Drosophila melanogaster: one gene and its partners. The protein of the gene in region 2 interacts with the protein of the main gene of each other region in a pairwise test. Each region holds a gene or a part of one and is shown on either strand. Other genes may lie near its edges.

Region 1 (5,068 bases), on a different chromosome or scaffold from region 2:
TTTTTTGTCAAATGGATAGTTTTCTGAATCATATGATTCCTCCGATTCCAAGTCACTGGAATCCCCTTCTGGCTCTATATCGGATACAGTGCTTTCTAGATCCTCATCAAGCCCAGATTCCCGCCTCAGCGTTGCTTCATTGTGAACTCGTTGAATGCGCTTCTTTAACTTAATCGATGTGTTCAAGTCATTTAAACAAGATGGGCAAATATGACGCGGCTGGCGTTCATTCTGTTCTAACTGTAAATGGAGTAAATGGGTTATGCCATTCACGCACACAAGAAACCATCAACATACCCATATTCCAGTGAGATCCTTGATCTTGGCCAGAACTTCCAGGCAAAAAATTATCGTGGGATTCAGGTGACAGAAACACGAGGCGCACAAATGGCATTGCGAAGGCTTTTTCATTTCAAACATATGATCATTTATCCCGCTGAATTCCCAAAACAATCAGCTGTAGTTTAATTGATTTTATGTTGTCAATTATGGAATAAAAACGGTAAAAGAGCGTACGCAATCCGAGAATTTCTGTTTACTCTCTCTAAGCAGCAAAATTTGTATGAATTACCTGTTTCATGGCGTTACCAGATAGGTGTGGAAAAACTAACTGTTCTTATTTCCTAGAAACCAGGGAACATCGAGCTAGTTTTTATAATTTAAAATTTATATATTATAAACGGGAGGTTAAATTTTCCCAAAAAGAGAGGTTCAAGCTAAAACACACGTTCGGCTAATTCCTGACGTTTTTGAAATTGGTTCCATATAATTTTTATTAAAATAAGCGCGCTGTGCAATTAGAATAAAATATATTTTATAACAAATTGTAATCTAAGACCGACGTTGAATTCCTTCCACACTGGTGCTAATCGTACGGCTGGCTGGTGATTCAAAGGATTTCTCTGAACCACCGAAAAAGTCAGATAGTTTGCATCCCTGGCATTGTGGCGTGTGGAGTGTGGAGTGTGTGGCGCCAACAGTCGATTTTTTTTGTGTGCTTAAAGTTAGGTGTACAGCTCCTCTCCATCGGGAATGGCTTCCTCGTACTCGAAGTCCTCAAAATTTGCGTCCTCATCCTGAAGTACCTCGTGGTCCTCATATTGTTCCTCGTCAATGTTATCTAACATTACGTCCAGTTCAGCCTGGTTGTCCTCCATTTCTGCCTGCCCCTCTTCCATATATCCCGGAAACTCCGCCGGATCGACTTCAGACTGGAATTCCTCTTTTGGACCATTAACCAGCAAGTTGACCCGCTTGCGGTGATACTTTGTGGAGTAGTGCCGATGCAAAAACTGCGCCTCCTTGAACTCCTTGTTGCATGTGAGGCAGCTGTGAAAGAATATGAGTTTGTACATCTATGGCTACGTATATTTCAATGATTCTTACATATGGACATCCGGTTGGTCACTCTTGTGCCCCTCCTCGTGCTTCAGCCGTCCCTTCTCGCTGTTGAATCGTTTGCCGCATATTTTGCACGGGTGCACCAGCTCGTTGGCATGCATTTGACTGTCAAGGTTTTTATGGTTTATATAGATAAGGACTTGTGATGATTAGGCCAGCACTCACCGTTCATGACGACAGCGGCTGGGACTATTGGCGAATCCCATACCGCAGAACTTGCAGACGTACGGTTTCTCGCCCTTGTGATGGACTCGAATGTGCAATCGGAGCAGTGGCATGGTGTAGAACTTGCGACCGCACTCGTCGCATGAAAACTTCTCCTCGAAGTGCCGCAGCTTGTGATCCTTCATGTTGCTGTGATCGTTGAACGACCAACCGCACTGGTCGCACACGTATCGCTTTATCGAGCGATCGACCTTGGGTTTTGGTCGCCGCTTTCTGGGCTTTCGGACGTGCTCCCGCGGAGGTGGCGGTGGACTATCTGCCTTCTCGACCACAGGCACACGAAGCCGCTTGACCCTGACTCGTGGGGACTGTCTGTTCGGGAAATTTTGGTCCTCGATCCGGATTTTTTTGGCCGGAGGATATCTTAAAATCGGCTTTTCGTCCTCCAAGAAATCCTTATCATCATCCATTAAATCCTTATCATCGTCCAGTAGCTCCTTATCGTCCTCGGTGTCTACTGTATCATCCAGCACCTCCCGTTTCAGCAGCGGATCACTAAGCACTGGCGAAACCTCCGGGGAGCCTTTTGAGGCGACACCCGCCTTCGAGGAGATCCTCTGGTGGAGATTTGCGTGCGTCTCCAGGCATCGCTGCCTGAAGGCTACGGCTTGGGTCAGGTCCAGGAGACAACAAGCGCATATGTGCTGGGGCAGCATATTCTCTAAAACGATCTGGAAATGCATAGATTATGAATAATTCCGGACAACAAATAAAAGGGACGCCACCTCTAAGCCCGTGATTTGCTCGATGGCCATCCGAATGCGATGATTGCGCTTCTCGAAGATGTTCTTTGGGTGCGGCGTGAAGATGCGCTCGCCGCAGATCCGACACTCGGTGCTCATTCTTTCGAAACTAAATAAAATTGATTAATTTTAATTACAAATTATAGTAATTTTTGCGCAGCCGGTTTGGTTTTGAAGTGTGACCGTTGTCCGCAACTAGAGGTGTCAAACATTGATGTTTTTAAAATTTTCCGATATATCGATGTTTATTTCAGACTATCGATATTGGTGTTCAAATAAAAAAAAATCGGCACTGCATCCCGTGAATTTTCTTTTTTAATTGAAATACATAATACTCCTAAGAAAACACGCTTTACAAGCGAATAAATAGTTGTATATATCTCCTTTTTTTAGCAATTTATTTTTATCTTTAGGCTACGATTATAAAAATAAAATAAGCATCATAAGCAAGTTTGAAGCTCTTTTGTGTACAGAATTTGTAGTAACTAGCCTAGAAAAAGCGATTAGCAATCAAAGGAAGTCTCTCATAACGTGTAATTGTCAAATCTTTGTCAAAATGCTCTATAGAAATGCCTCCAGTACGGGGGCCGCGATCAGGCGCCAACTCTCCCGCCATCGCAGCTCCTGGAACTCCTGGATTTTGCGCTGAAAACCAGCTCTTGTCTCCAGGATGCTGGGATTCTTTGGAAAATTTTCGAACCAAATCCTCAGCTGCTCGGCCAGCTGAACATGGTCGCCAAACACGAAGCCATTCTCGCCGTGCTTCACCAGCTCATCCAGGCTAAAGAGCCATTTGTAGAAGTTAGTAAGTAATAATAGTAAATGGCAGGATTAGTTACCACTTGAAATCGTAGGCGCAGACAGGCAGCCCGCTGCCGAACATGTCGACCACCTTCATGGGCAGGTCGAGCCCACTGGTGCTCCAGTGCAGACACACGCCCAGGTCGGCGCTGGCCAGAACAGTGGGGTAGTCCTCGATCTCTAGCCAGGGCGTGATCACCGACACCTTCTGCCATTGCAGCTTCTCGATCTCCGCCACATAGTGCTCCTTTTGTGGCCCCTTTCCGGTGATGATACACAGCAGGGAAGGATAAACCAACGGCTCTGCTTGCGCAGTCTCCTCGTAAGCTTGCAAAGCCTTAAGCAGTATACCGAAGTCCTCGTCCGGCGTCCAACTGGTGCTGGAAACCAGCACGGCTTGTCGCTGTGGTCTGTACTGCACAACACCGCTGGCCAGCTTTTGGGTAAGAGCGGTGGCCTCCAGAACATCGGATTGTTCGGCGTCCTTGGCCTGGAACTGTGGGTAGTCTTTGGCCAGCTTCAGGTACAGCTCGTGCTTGTGAGTCAAGTCGATGGGATGGAATTGCGCGGGCGCACGATCATACAGAACTTTGACAGGCCTGAAAGATGAGTCGCGGCTGAGTTATTTACTTCGTTTAGATGGATGTGATGAGGACTTACCCAATGCCCCAGTTTTGCTGCAGATCCTCTTGCATGGCCCGCGTCACACAGAAGTGTGTGTGTGCCTTGGAGCCGAAGTATCGCTCCAGTCGCCTAACCAATCGTATTAGAGGACTCTGCTCTCCCTTCGACATTCCCAATGCCAGCACTGTGTACGTGTAGTTGTGCCAATCGATGGCCAGCTTGGTTCGTGTGACCGCACAGTACAGATAGCACACAATCAGCGTGGGAATGCCGGGCGGATTCTGGACGAGTAGGAAGCTGGGACGGCCAATGGAGATGAGAGCCATCAGCAGACTGAGCGTCTGCCAAAAGGCCTTGAAGAGCAGGCGCAGTTTGGGTGTTAGGTTCGTCACTGGGACGGCAGTTAGCTCGTGGATTCGGCAACGTGGATGTTGAGTCAGTTCCTCCAGCGGCCTCGTCTCCAGATACCCAATCATGTCCACGTGGTAGTTCTCCTCGAGAAGACTCTGGGCATGGTACTGCATGCGCGGACTGCGTCCAATGTCGCCCAGCACGATGACGCAGGCGTTGCGCTTCTTGGGCAGCACTTCCGCCATCGCTGGGCAAGAAAAATAAGCGCTTTATCTGCGATCAAAGGGAATTGCGCGTTTTGTTTGTGATTCGGTTGAATCCTGTGGAATAGTGGGACCGTACTCAGCCGCTGCAAAATGCCTCGGAACTCTGCTATTATGGCGCTATGTTAGGGTGGTTCATTTCAACATTTATTTACTACCTGTTTTAAAAATTTGGGTATTTTATCATTTTATCCATCTATTCTATTTCATTTAATTTTTTAAGATGAGTAATCAGAATTCTTAGATTTATATGAGCGAATATATATACTGTTTAGATTTCAAAGTATGAAGTGATAAAATAGCATAATTTTAAGCTACATTTTTTCTCTAACATTGCATTTACATTTCTTAACAGTACTGTAAAATAAAATGAGTGCGGTTAACAGGGAAATAACTTAACAGTTGCCGAGTGACCGTACCTGCTTTGCGTATGTATGATCTTAATTGCAGTAAACGTGACTGGTCACACCACACCGCTCAAACTGAATTCTCCATTCAAATTCGGATTCGTATGGACGTAACGTCGCGGCTCGTGAGTGCGGCACTTTTCTAGCGGGACTTCAAGCTCAGTGTGTGTGTGTGCGCGACAGTGCGTCGGTGTGTGTGAGTGTTTACCCACAAAGCTGTGCTACAATTTTCGCAGCAACTAATGCTCAGGTA
Region 2 (4,929 bases):
ATGCTAAAATTAACATTCATTTGCATTGAAAATGAATAAAATGAATTTCAGAACCTTTTCCGTTCGTTTAGATGATCGCATGAATCCTCATTTCATTTAATTGTCTTTTTCTGCCCATCAATTGCTAGCAACAAAGCGCGTAGGCCAGCAACAACGACCATCGACCAACTGGCAACATGCGGCATGCTGCATGGAGCATGCAGCATGCAACAGACAACGGACAACATTCAACAATGCGACATTGCACGGGCCTTAACTTAAATTATGCGCCAAACAAATAAGGTTTCGCCCAGTCTCAACTTCGGAGCCCGTCTCATAATGATGCCATGGGGCCATCGGCAAGTTGTTAATGTTCATGCACTGAAAGTATATATTTAATATTAAAACGAAAACTATATGCTAGCATTTAAAAATTGTTCAATTTTATGCAAACTTATTGCCTTACTACTAAATATTCAAAGCTTATATTGCTTGAAATGTTTTTTTAGTTTATTGATTGGATTTTTTTTGAGTGTGGAACAGTGGCTGTGTAATGTCGCCAGTTGCACAAAGTCATGGCCACAGTTGTCGGGCTTTTTCCTCCAAATGCGATGGGGTTGCCGAGCGGATGGCAAAAAAGAAACAATGTCAGCAACCGCAAGAAACAATTAAGTTGGCTCGACACAATGAGGAAAGCTACGATCAACAAGACAGTTGGATCACCGACTTTATGTGCTGCTGCCTGAATTGGACTGGGATTGGGATCGGGATCGGTACTAGAATAGAGTGGAATGGATCGGTATGGTATGGTATGGTATGGAGTGGAGTGGAGTAGAGTGGAGGGAGCCGTGGCATCATAATTGCAGTCCCAGTTGCAGATTTCCTATTTCCTATGAAAAAAATTTTTACACATTTCCAGATCGTAAAATTAAGAGTTTTGCATTAATGCGATATATAAAGATGCTTAACATATATGATACTTATTATAACTATATCGGCTAAGATATTTAACTTCTTCAAGTAAATGAAATTGTTCTACCTTTAAAGTGCATTCAATATAGCCCTGATATTCCTTCTTATCTGGGCCATCTAACAGCTGCTGCTGCTGCGGCACGAGCCAAAAGTCATTAAAAAATAAAAAGACTTCTCGATGGCAGAGAGCAGCTTTTTCGATTAAGTGACAGGTTAAATGCTAAACCATAAGTTTTGGCCACAAGCAGCTGGCAATCACCGAGCACGAGCCACAAACTTTTGCAGCCGGCCGAAATGCAGGAGCCAGGAGACTACACTGAGAATTACAAATTAAATGGAGCAGTTTTCAATGTATTAATCTGTGAAACAATGTCTGAATTTTTTCCCAAATGAATTGTATTGTTTTAAAGAATGTAACATATTAATATATGGACAGACTGATATTGTAACCCTATTGTTGGCCGGATTTGTTCACTTTTTCTCCATGTGAGAACGGCAAGAGTCGGAAGACAAGAGAATCATTCGAAACCGGTTGCAAGTCTCCCACAGGCACCTTCTGTCTGATGCGACGACGTGCGTCGGTCCAACTATAACCATTAGTCGCAATCTTTGGGCAATTGTCGCTGATTGCCGTCGTCCGTTGTGCCTTGTGCTTTTTCCAGATACAGATGCAGATGCAGATGCTGTTCGCAGATGCAGATACATTTGCTGCGGCAAATGCCTGCTGACCCATCTTGATTAGCTAAAAGTGCGTGCGAAATCCACATAGAATGACATCTGTGGTAATTGTCCTTACATCAATTCATTTCAATTAAATGATCTTTATTGTATTAGGAGGCAGTGCCTAACAAATATAAATGCTAAAGCAAATGAAATGCACTTCATTTGAATTGGTAAAGTAAATAAAATAATTGATGCAAGAAAATATGTATTGAAGAGAGATATTTTTGTTGGAACACTTAGTTTTATTATTGAGCTATAAGCCAAACAAGAGGACTTTGATACATTTAACTTAAATCGCGTTTGATTTACTGATAACGTTTACTTTAACAATATCCAAATTACGAACATTTGAAGTCTTAACTAATAAAAACTTTTAAATTGCCCGCCATTTTAACCAGGGCTGCGTATTAATGTTAAATTATCGATAAGCCAAACCAATAAACAGTGTTCAAAAACTTCACTAACTGCAACAATCGATATTACTGCACATCTATCGACTCTTGTTGCATCTCTAGGACAACAGGAACAGGAATTACAAAAGATATTTTTCCACCAATTATCAAAATAAAAACACAACAATTCACGCTATCTAGCGCTGGACACAAAAGACCGCAACGTAATGCCGTCCAGAAATATTGACGATGCCGCCGGCGCCAAGGAGGTTCACCGAAGTACAAGGAATTCACTGATCGGCCCGAAGAGCAAGCGAATCGCCCTAAACAGTCGCAATCGCAGTCTTGCTGCCGCCGAAAAGAAAACTCAGTCGCAGCTGTCATTCCCGCCAAAATCGGAGTACGAGAAGTTCTACGAGACCGTCTTCCTGGCGGAGGATTTGCAGCCGGAGGAAGTGAGTCCATCGCCCCACATGGGTTGTTGGGGTACTTACCCGGTTTTACCGAGTACAGCCACACACCAAATATCTTGTTTACCTATCCCACATGGGTGGCAATAGACCTGTTTACCTTTTCATAATGTGTTTTGGCACTACAAAGCGAGATTCGTTAAAACATGTGATAGGATATCAAATTTGACCTAATTTCTGTATGAAAGTCCACTTCAGTTACATAGTCCAACATGGACCACTAGCGAACATACTAAAATTCTAATTAATCACTCAGTAACCATGCTTCTAAACCAACTAACTCTTCTAGAATATAACACCAGAACGTCGTAAGCCAGGACCGCGCATGAAGAGCTCACTCCAAGCCCTGTTGAGCGATGAAGGATCACCGACGGGACCACAGCGAACCGCCAAGATAAACGTTGCACAGAAAATGGTCGTTGAGCCAGCGATCCGAGCCAATGGCATCTCGCCATTGCCCAAGAATGTTGGCAAGGAGGAAAAGTTTGAGGACTACTATACGAAAACGGAGCGACACGTTTGGAAAAAGGATGCGGAGAAGATGTTGCTGCAACTGTGGGCACAGCATTTGAAGGATTTTCGTGGAGAGTCCAAGAATGTGATCATCTACCGGCAAATGGCTAGGGAGATGAGTCAGTTTGGGCCCAGCCACACGGAGCTTAAAACCAAAATGGACAATTTGTCGCGAAAGTATAGGTGCGCTCTTATATTTTGCATACCAAAAGTTTTTATTTTTATAGTATATTAACTTTTATATTGGTATTTACAGAATAGAAGCTGAGAGAGTTCGGGAAACTGGAGTGCCATCCAAGTGGGAGCACTTTCATAAGCTTCAAGCACTTCTGATTGGCACGAAATCAGTTGATGTCTTCGAAGATATTACCGCCGAAAATCCAGGTAAAGTCGTAGTGCAATAAATGCTAGTTATGTCATTATGTCTTAAAAATACGCTAATTTTACAGCTCAAGCTTTGTTCAGCGATGAGGATTATGAGCCTGAGGAATTGTCTTCATTAAAAGACGAGCCTATGGCCGGGGACGATGGGAACGTATTCGAAAGTGATATGGTTGCTAGCAAAGCCATGAAAAGAACGCGAACTCCCTCTCCCAGTATTCCGGAAATCCCGGAAGAAGACGAGGAGGAGGAGGAGGAGGAGGAGGATGATGACCACATGAAGGATCTCTCCCCATCGCCAATTTCAAAATGTCAGACAAAACGGAAAGCATCGAACAACCATTCGGACAGACTCCTTGAAATAGAGGAGGAAAAACTGGCGATCGAGCGAGAAAAGCTGCAGGTTATGAAGGATGCACTGCTGGAGCTAAACGCATTTCACAAAGATATTGTTTATTTGCTTAAGCATAACAATCAGTAGTGTAAATATTAAGTGTTATACGTAGAAGTAGCGTGGTGTTACTTTTTCAGCAAAATATACAACTAAAACAGTGAATATTTAATGTAATATTGCTTCAACTTCAAATTAATCTAAATATATATATATATATTGTAAAAAGCTAGATTTTGCATTGTTATGATCTTACAAATTAGTTTCTTAAGTAAAAATAAATGCAATGAAATTATATTTTACTTTTTTTAGCAAAACTTTAATTACTTACTTTACTTTAATATTATAAATTTGTTTTAAATCGTATTTGTTACATTTAGTTTCTCAATTCGTAAAATGTTTTTTTATTTGTATTTTAGATATAATTTAAATCGATATCATAGAACTATCGATAGATATATGAAGCCAATACCGACCATTTCTAGAAAAATCGATATCGAGCTGCTGCCCATCTCTAGGCACATTTTGTTTATACTTTTCGAGCGTAAGGACGACATGATTGAGGCCCGCACGATGCAGGACGTATCAAAATTCGAATCCAACCAGGTGATCTCGGCGAAGGTGCTCCGCGGCGAGTACCGGCTACTACGACGCAAGCAGCGCGGCTCCGTGTGGAAGGTGTATCGGGAAATCGTGCGCACCGATGGTGCCATAATCAATGGACTCTACTTCTGCACGGGCTGCAAGCGCGTCATGCGATCCTTCAACACGTCCAATCTGCGCACCCACAAGTGCCATGTGGACTACCTGCGTACCGAGGAACTGTGCGAGGAGGGGATCGCGGAAATCCATCCCCCTAAACTAGACGTACGTACAACGACGCCATTAGAAGTCAATAGTAGTCCAAATTACCATGTCTCACTTGCAGGATTCGTTGGAGCGCCGCCTGAGCTGGAACTCCTTTCAGCCGTCCGAGTGGTCATTCCACGCGGTCGAACTGCTGCTCGAGCTTTGGGCAAGGCACTGCGTCGATTTGCGAGACTCACGCAAGCGGGTCCAGGTTATCTGGAAAATGACGGGCGAGATGAAGTCACTGGGTTTCACGTTC
Region 3 (8,734 bases), 160 kb from region 2:
CCGAACCCTGTCTTTGGAGTGTCATGTTCTCGTGCGACATAAACCTCACGCCTGGCTGCTCCTCTATGTGTTCTATTCCATCTGGCTGAGTGGCTATATTCGGCGAGGACATGTGCTGTGGTGTGGTGGCTCTTTTAATGTCACCAGGTTCTGTGGCTGCCTGAAGAGGGGGTAACTCTTGTCCAGGTGGATAGAGCTTTAAACGCAGTCGGGATCGGCAGGCTGATACTGCCATGGGTCGAATGGGCGAGCGATTTTGAAGGCTTTCGCTCCGTGCCACCGAAGCGCTGGCCGCAGCAGGGCTGCAGTGGGCAAAGAAGGTTTTGCTGGCCACCGGTGATTCTGGCGCACTGGCACACTCACTGGACGGACGCGGTCGGTGTGAGGATCCTTCGCTGGAGTGCAGCGAGCCCGAGTTGTTGTCCACCATGCTCCAACTTAGCGAGAGGTTATCGCGCCGCAGAACACTGTTGCTATCCGGTATGGAGTTATAACGCACGGTCACCGGCGGTGTCATCGGTTTCTTTTCCGCCTTGCAGCACAGACTGAACTGGTGACTAAATCTATTGTGATTGGGTGAGCGATGCTTGGGCGACTTGCGCCGCATCACCACGTCGGCTCCTCCATCGCTTTGGGAACCAGCATCCGTACTGTGCCGGTGCGAGTGATTCTTTCCTTTCGAGGAACTTGGCTTTGCACGCCTGTGGAAGCTGATCAGCCCGCTGTGCGACTTCTCCAGCGGCAGCGTTTGGCTTTTGAGGGTGCTCCCATTGTTATTGACATGGTTTGCAGACGTATCTGCATTGCACTTGGCGAAACTGACATCGTATTGGCCACAGGCGGACACGGGTCTCTGTTGTAATCTTGGCGATTCGGGTGTCACGGGATGTGGCTCCACCTTACTAGGTCGCTTGCTCAGCAAACCGAACAGGGAGCTCGCGGTCTTGTGACCGGATCTGGGACTGCTGGTGGAACTGGTTATCCGTTCCTCACTTCCCGCGCTGCTGTGCTGCATGTTGGCTTTAGTCCGAACGAAATGATTCTATCATCTAAGGTGAAGGTGCTAAGTGGTTATCATGCCCCCCTTTTGTCAAGTTAATTCGCTCTATCTGCCGGATCTCTCGAACCGAGCTCATTGTGCGATGGCCTCTGGCTGCCGGCCATATAAATAGTAAAGCCAGACGTCATCGAGCGAGCACAATGCAAATGCGACTTTGGTCCGGCGTTCTGGCTGGTCGCAATGCAAATTATTTTGGGCTCGGCGATGACGTACACGAAATCAGGCTAATTGGGCTGACTGGCGGCGATTGCGTGTGCTGTTCTGTAAGATTTTAATGAAGGTAAACATTTAGGCGGGTTGGTAATACCAAGGGTATAATACACTTACTAACCTGCAAGCAACTAAATAAAAAAAACACATATGTGGGCAGATCCTTTGGGGCGAGAGAGCTGAAAGGATTCAGAAAATCAATATGCTGGGTAATAACTGTGGCGACACCGTCGCGATATATAAAATGGGGAGGATTGTGGGCGATTTGGGGGGTGGTTGGTCGCGGAAGGGTGGTCTTTGGCGACGACGTAACAACATTGGCATGCTGCGGCGCCCACGCATCCAAGCACTGAGCACTCAGCATCTGAACGTCTGAACACAAGCACAATATCCGTCGTCTGCTGGCTGATTCGATTCTCTGGGATCGAGAGATTTATAATTAGCAGACCATTGTTCCCGTCAGCGCAGCCTTGTTGTTCTTGTGTTGTTGGCCTACGTCTAGCATAAAAGCAGCAACAATAGCACATAGCACACATGCGATATTCAAGTTCAGGTTCAGGTGCGCATTGATTTCGCTCTTGGTGTGCTTTTCATGTTCCGCACTGGTACGCACTACCCTTCCACGCTGCTGTCACCTATGCGATTTATGTAATTTTTGTATGATTTACCGCGTTCCAATGTTGTTTACACCCAAAAACTCCGAGCAAGTGCGGAACTTGTCGTGGGAACTGCGATTTAGGGGTGGCAAAAGTGGGCAGCCAACTGCCGATAAGTGGGAGCACGTATCGATAGGTGCGGGCGGGGGTGTTTCAGTGGCTGGGTTGTGACACGATAGATTTAAAGAAATATTTCTTAAATATTAATTAAGATTTGTATTTAATTGTGTTTCCAGCAAAACGTACCAATGTAATATTTATTAGGTAAACATACATAACAAAGCGCTATATATTCAATACAAAATTGTGGGCCAAGTACCCTTCAAAAATTTATTAAGAGGAATTTATAACATTATTATTAAATGTACTTTATTATTTTTTACAATTATTTAATAAACCGTTTCTTATATTAAAAAAAATAATAAGGTTTAATTAACTGTATTATACAGCCACACTAGAAGTGCAATCGAAATCGACTTGCTATCGGTGCTCGTAAGGCGCATCACTAGTATTTCGTTTCGGTCGGTACGCGGTTCAGCGTTTTTGTTCAACGGATTAGCGCAAGTTAAGCACGATGGCGGCCCAGACGATACTGTTTGATTTCACGCTGGACAAGGACAAGACGGCGGATGAGGAGGCGCGCCTCCAGGTGGCCAAAATCCTGCGTAACGAGCTGGAGCAGCTGTTCCCCCAGCTGGAGCTGGCCTACTCGATGGAGTCGCCGGAAAACGGCTACTTTGCGGTGCTGCACGAGAACAAGGACACGGTGATTACCTGCCGCATCTTCCAGCACGGCCTGCTGACGCTCAACGTGGAGTACTTCCTGCCCGATGGCAAGGAGCCGAGCATATCCTTCGACGTACGTATTCAGTGCAATTTAGATTCCTTTAAAAAACTCAAAAAACAAGCAAGCAAACACCCGACAGCAGCACCACCACCCACATCTTTCTTACCCTCCCAGTTTCCGTGTCTCGGCTGATTAGTTGGGGAAAGGGTTTTCCACCCACCGGGTAAAATTGATTTTCCGCGCACTTGTACCCGAGTGTTGTTGCTTCATCATACATACATGTGGGGGTGTGTGCATGGCAAGTGGGCAACCATGTGGGTGGGTTGATTGGTTGTGTGTGTGAGTGTGTTCCTGACCACTCGGCGAGCTCAAATGGCCGGCACTTGGTCAGGGTCAGTTCGTCCGTCCTTGGCCTCAAGTGATGGCTGCCCCCATCCCAGCACTTTCACCAGTTTCTATTATCTAACACCTCTGAAGCACACATCACATACATAGCGATTTCAGCTGGGCTTTGCTAGGTTAACTTGTCGTTCCGGTCCCGTTTCTATGCTTTTCACATTTGGCCGGAGCACGTGGGTTGGGTTCGACTCGCGATCTATTGATTGGCGCCCCTTTGGGGCATGGTACCCATACTAATAAGAAGAAAAACACCCGGAATATGCGGCCCTTATTACAGAAACCAGATTTCAGGTTACACCCTTAGGCACGCATTATTTCATTTGATACTTAAACTTTCTTATACCAGTTTACTCTACTTACGCATGCACATATAAACAAACCTAAGTCAACAAAATGACTGTTGATACCACAAATCTGAGGGTTTTCAAAATGACAACCAGTATTTGTTTGTAAAACAACAAAGAATATAAAATTTGATAGAATATTTCAATTTCTTCCATCATTTGTTTAAGTACATCTAAAATGCTAGAGAAAATGTCCCATGTACATATGCCTACAGCTACGGTAAGCTAAATAGCATCAAAAAAATTAAATTATGTCAAAAAGTCTAAAATTGTTTTGTTCTATAACTATAGCTTTAACAAAATCCCAAGTAAAATTTTTATAAAATTATATTTTTATACAATGATGGAGTTAGTTAGGATATAATCTCAACAAACCTTTGTACTTTATAAATAATTTAATCAAGTAATCGAACAAAGAAATCAACCTAAACCAACTTTTCTATAGGAGTAACTAATATTATCAGACCCATTATTATTTCCTCGTATCATTTGAAATGCTATATCTTGCCGATCGCAGCTGTTTTATTCGCGAGTGCGGAACTTTTCTTATCTAGCCGTCAATATTTTTTCTGCTTACGACTGTTTGCTGTTGGCCTGTGGATTTCGCAAGCCGCATGTGGCTAAGCCTTCTATTGTGATTTCTGTGATTTTGCAATAACATATGCCTGCTGCACATGCAACTAAACAAATGTGTCGCCAGAATGCACATACTTGCATGGCTACTAGCTATATCTAGATATAGGTATATATTCCCTTTTTCGTTTCGTTCTGTTCACTTTCCTTTTTCATAAGTATCAAGTATTTGGACTAAAAATAGTATTTTTCTTGGGCCGGGCTGCCTGTGTGTCGCCGTTTGGTGTGAGTGGGGTGGGTCGTTCGAAGAGTTTTCCGCGCCTGGCGGATGAAGGTCACCTTCCATTAATATAATTTATTCATACTGAGTACCCCAGCCCCCATCGAGCCAACATGCACATTTGTACATCCGACGCCCCCTTGCAAGAAGGACCTCAATAATGGAATTACCATTGCAGACCATGCGCACCATGGAACTGATTTTGCGGCAGAAATTTGATTCCGATCGGTCCAAGTACTTGCCGCCGATTAAACGCGGCGGATATATCGACATATATATGACTAGCTCAGGTTGGTCGAACTTAATGCAACCTACATATATGTACAATCAAAAAAAATCCAGTTTAGTTCCTGCTAGTTTCATTTGCAATGAATATATATAACTTATCTACTCAAACTCACTTCACATACAATTACCTACAATTTATGCCGAAATTCTCTTTCAAAATTCCACTGCAGAATCTAGAACACCTGTGCAGTTTTTCCACTAGTATTTCCGATTGCCGCCACCGCAAAGAAAATAAATAAAATTAGAAAAAAAACCCTCATGACTATCACATAAATTGGACACCGTATCGCAGCTGATGTAAATTCACCGAGTTGTCATTTCCAGCCCAGAATTTGAACCGCCTCCCAAGCTCTGCACATCTCCAAAGCCACCGATCATGTTAGCCTAGCGTGTTACCTTCTAGGGGATTACTTTTCCAGGCCACTCCTGCATGCTAGTTTGTCTAATCTTTGGAAGAAGCCTTCTACCTTTGCAGTAGTGGTGCCAAGTTGCTCATATTATTGTACTGTGGGTTTAATCTCTTTATACCTTTATGTATCCACGCTGATTTTATATCAGCTCCTTGGCATCACTGCAATTTAGCATACCCACTGTTCTAAGATTATTATTTAATTTAAATTACGTTTTATTTTCATATCTATTCCATCGACACTCAACCGATCCATCGATCATCATGAACAACCGCTGCCACCATCTCCTGGACCAAATTACACACCAAAATTGCCACGAACTTGTGAATAAATGTGTAAACTATTGAATTATACTTACGCCCCAACGCACATGTGTCACCTGCCCCGCCTCGAAATCGATCTCGTACTCGTATTCGCTCCACGTCGTACGCTCGCTCATAAATTGGTTCCTCAACAATTGACAATCGACTACAACAACACGAAAATATCAATACAACACGGTTTATAAAAAAAAAAAACAATATACTACTATGTAAAATCGAACGGACATCCGCAGAGCGGTAAGAGCCTGGAGAATGTCCTGGCAATCAAACTGAAGGCCATCAAGGCCCAGAAGCTGCCGACGCTGAAGCGCGGCGATGTCTCCAGGTACTTCCCATCGTCAGGTAAGGCAAACCCAATCCGTTTGGTTAAACATATTGCAAATAGAGCAAATACTACTCGTACTACCGCTACTGTATGTCATCCGAATTGTGTGTGATCGTATGACCGTATGACCATTGAGCGTATGCAGCACCATCGAGCTGATTGTATCAGAGTTCTTCTAGTGGCACCCAGCATGATAGATCATTTCAGTCATTTACTTCTGATTTTCTCTCTATCTATATCTCGTTTACTTTCCGTAAGAGTGCATTTCGTTGGTCTTAAACTTGTTTCTCTGCATGCGACGCCTAACAATTGAGCCGAAATCAGTACTAGTAATAATCAATATCGCACTTAATACGGTCACTAATAAGGCATCACTAATCCATGGCACATCTTCCGCAGATGAGCGCATCATCGAGTACGACATCGACAAGGTGGTCTTCGAGGCGCGCTCGCCCTTCCAGAAGATTCAAATCATGCACTCCAAGACCCTGGGCAACATGCTGCTCCTCGACGAGCTGCAGAGTAAGTAAACCATACCTAGTATAGGCATCTGAATGCAATAAGTGGCACATTCACACATTGATGCGCCAACGGTGTCAGGGTCACCAATCGATTAGTGGAAGTGCCGCAGTAAAGGTCACGTGCAATTGCCTTTAAGAAAAGGTCATCATAAATAAATATAAACTGCACATAAACATAATGCACAAAAGTAAATATTCCATATCACGGGCATTTTCTGGATGCTAATGCTATGTTACCTGACAATTATTCCATATCACGAACACCTAGTTGCTTGTTAACTAAATATAATGAAATATTCTTATTGCTTAAAAGAAGAATAAGAAAGCTGAATTTGAAAACATGAATTCTCGACTAGATTAAAAACTTTTTAAGCTGTCGGTTATGAAAAGGGTAATAGCAACTTCTTTTGATTCTTTTTTAAATATAGATGTCTAATTTCCCATTTTCCACGTACAGACATTGCTGAATCCGATTTGATTTACACGGAGACCCTGATGTGTCGCGGCGTGGAGAACTACGAGGGCAAGGAGATCTGCATCCTGGGCGGCGGTGATGGCGCCTTGTTGTACGAGCTACTCAAGGAGAATCCGAAGCATGTGGTGATGCTGGAGATCGATGAGCTTGTGATGCAAACCTGCAACAAATACCTCAACGTGATCTGCGGCGATGTGCTGGAGAAACGCAAGGGCGATCAGTACGAGATCATTGTGGGCGACTGTGTGGAGTACTTGAAGAAGTTCATCGCCGAGGGCCGCAAGTTCGACTACGTTTTTGGGGATCTTACGGACATACCCATAACCGATGCCCCGGAGGGCGAGACCTGGGATTTCATTCGTACCATCTTCGAGCACTCCTTCAAGGTGCTGAAACCCGACGGAAAGTATTTGACTCATGGCAATGGGTCCACCTGCAAGGTGCAGCTGCGTCTATTCGAGGAGCAGTTGAATTTGCTGCGTCCCAAGGTGAAGTTCACCACCACCAAGGCGTTTGTGCCGTCGTTCATGGAAGAGTGGCTCTTCTACCAAGTGACTTTCGCCTGACAAGCTCAGGTGGACTCCTCAGCAGCAGCAGTAGCTACTTCTAGCGCACCACCAACCGCCAGTCACACACCAGCATCACACAGCATAAGTCAGGAACCGGGAACCGTCGGAGAGATGCTCCAGCTGCACTCCTACACTGTCACTATCCATGGAGCAGCAGTCGGAGTTCAGGAGGAGGAAAATATGAATAATGGAGCCGTGGGTCAATTGAAACCGCGACCAAGGCGTCGAAAGAAGAAGCGTGTACACTACCATCACACGCTGGTTTCTTAGTCCAGGAAACACGGAATCCGATGCACAAGCTAATCGCCATCATCGAAACCATCGCAACAAAACCCAAGACAGAGGAAAACACGCACTTCCAATGGCTGTTACTTACAATTGAAAACCAAACCAAATACTGAACCCAATTCGTTTACGCTTAAGTTAGGCTTTAGTTCCGTTTCTCGTTCACTGATTTCAATGCTAAAAACTAAGACAAAAGTACAACCTTTAAGCAAGGACAGGCTAAAATAATAACTTATGTATTCGTGTTTATTTGAATTACGCCTAAGCATAGCATGTTGGCCAACTATTTGTAATATTTCGTATAACGTGTACATCTATATAATGTAGACCATATGTTTAGTTATCCATTAACAAGCAAAGTGGAGCGGGGAAGGCCCAAGGATCGAGGATGTGTGTATGTGGGTGTGAGGAAGCGTAGCAGGAACACCAACTTTTATTGCTGTAATAACGATTAATACCAAACATTTTAAACGGGAGAACTAATAAAGTTAAATAAATAGTCGTACGCAGAAATAAACAGTGTGGTTTTCTTTTATTTTACCGGGTATTTTAATAATAAATCCTGGAATTCAATAAATTACAAATTCAATAGCAATATTCAAGTAATACTACGCATACGCAGTGTTGACCTATCCTTAATCAATATGGATAAAAAATTAATTAAGGGATTTATCGCTATGAAATTCTTAATATAAATAAAATTTTATCTTAATTATTTATATAAGTTTTTAAATTTAATTATTTTATTTTATCGTGAGCCACCCTAATCTTTTCATGACAGTGTTGGACAACCGTGCAATAGAGCACGCACTAAATATGCCCGCGGGCAGTTGAACGTTAATTTCACTTGTTGTTACGTTGGTTTTAATTTTCACCGGGAGCTAAGCGAACAAAATGGAGCGGAAACTGCACAGTGGAATGCACCATGCCACGCTGCGGCAGCTGCAGGAGTCGGGCTGCGAGATAGCGCCGCACAATCTCATGTATCCGGTGTTCATCGTGAGCAACGACGACGATGTCCAGCCAATTGCCAGCATGCCAGGAATCTCGAGATTCGGACTGAATCGCCTGAAGGAGCACCTGGAACCGCTGGTGGCCAAGGGACTGTCGTCGGTGCTGCTCTTTGGCGTTGTGGACCCGGACATGAAGGATGAGCAGGCCTCCAATGCGGATTCAGCAAAGAATCCAGTCGTTCTCGCACTGCCGAAGCTCCGGGAATGGTTTCCGGA

What was found.
Region 1: the proteins of vers (region 2) and Odj interact in a two-hybrid assay, tested with the Drosophila melanogaster proteins (2 studies listed by BioGRID).
Region 3: the proteins of vers (region 2) and Sms interact in a two-hybrid assay, tested with the Drosophila melanogaster proteins (2 studies listed by BioGRID).

Annotation. Positions count from the first base shown.
Region 1 is NT_033777.3:17,806,650-17,811,717, forward strand, and holds Odj (oddjob), read right to left. Parts: upstream 2,574-5,068; 5' UTR 2,469-2,573; coding exon 2,352-2,468; intron 2,298-2,351; coding exon 1,567-2,297; intron 1,507-1,566; coding exon 1,387-1,506; intron 1,330-1,386; coding exon 1,005-1,329; 3' UTR 758-1,004; downstream 1-757. Other genes in the region: CG17801 (uncharacterized protein), read right to left, coding at 1-240, 298-420; Alg1 (ALG1, chitobiosyldiphosphodolichol beta-mannosyltransferase), read right to left, coding at 2,931-3,150, 3,209-3,769, 3,831-4,390.
Region 2 is NT_037436.4:12,113,939-12,118,867, forward strand, and holds vers (versatile), read left to right. Parts: upstream 1-2,162; 5' UTR 2,163-2,293; coding exon 2,294-2,521; intron 2,522-2,825; coding exon 2,826-3,232; intron 3,233-3,305; coding exon 3,306-3,433; intron 3,434-3,498; coding exon 3,499-3,911; 3' UTR 3,912-4,117; downstream 4,118-4,929. Other genes in the region: ssp (sunspot), read left to right, coding at 4,377-4,688, 4,750-4,929.
Region 3 is NT_037436.4:12,270,941-12,279,674, reverse strand, and holds Sms (spermine synthase), read left to right. Parts: upstream 1-2,423; 5' UTR 2,424-2,500; coding exon 2,501-2,785; intron 2,786-4,487; coding exon 4,488-4,599; intron 4,600-5,563; coding exon of another isoform or gene 5,564-5,672; intron 5,673-6,054; coding exon 6,055-6,177; intron 6,178-6,633; coding exon 6,634-7,217; coding exon of another isoform or gene 7,218-7,490; 3' UTR 7,491-8,019; downstream 8,020-8,734. Other genes in the region: INPP5E (inositol polyphosphate 5-phosphatase E), read right to left, coding at 1-1,015; Pbgs (porphobilinogen synthase), read left to right, coding at 8,400-8,734.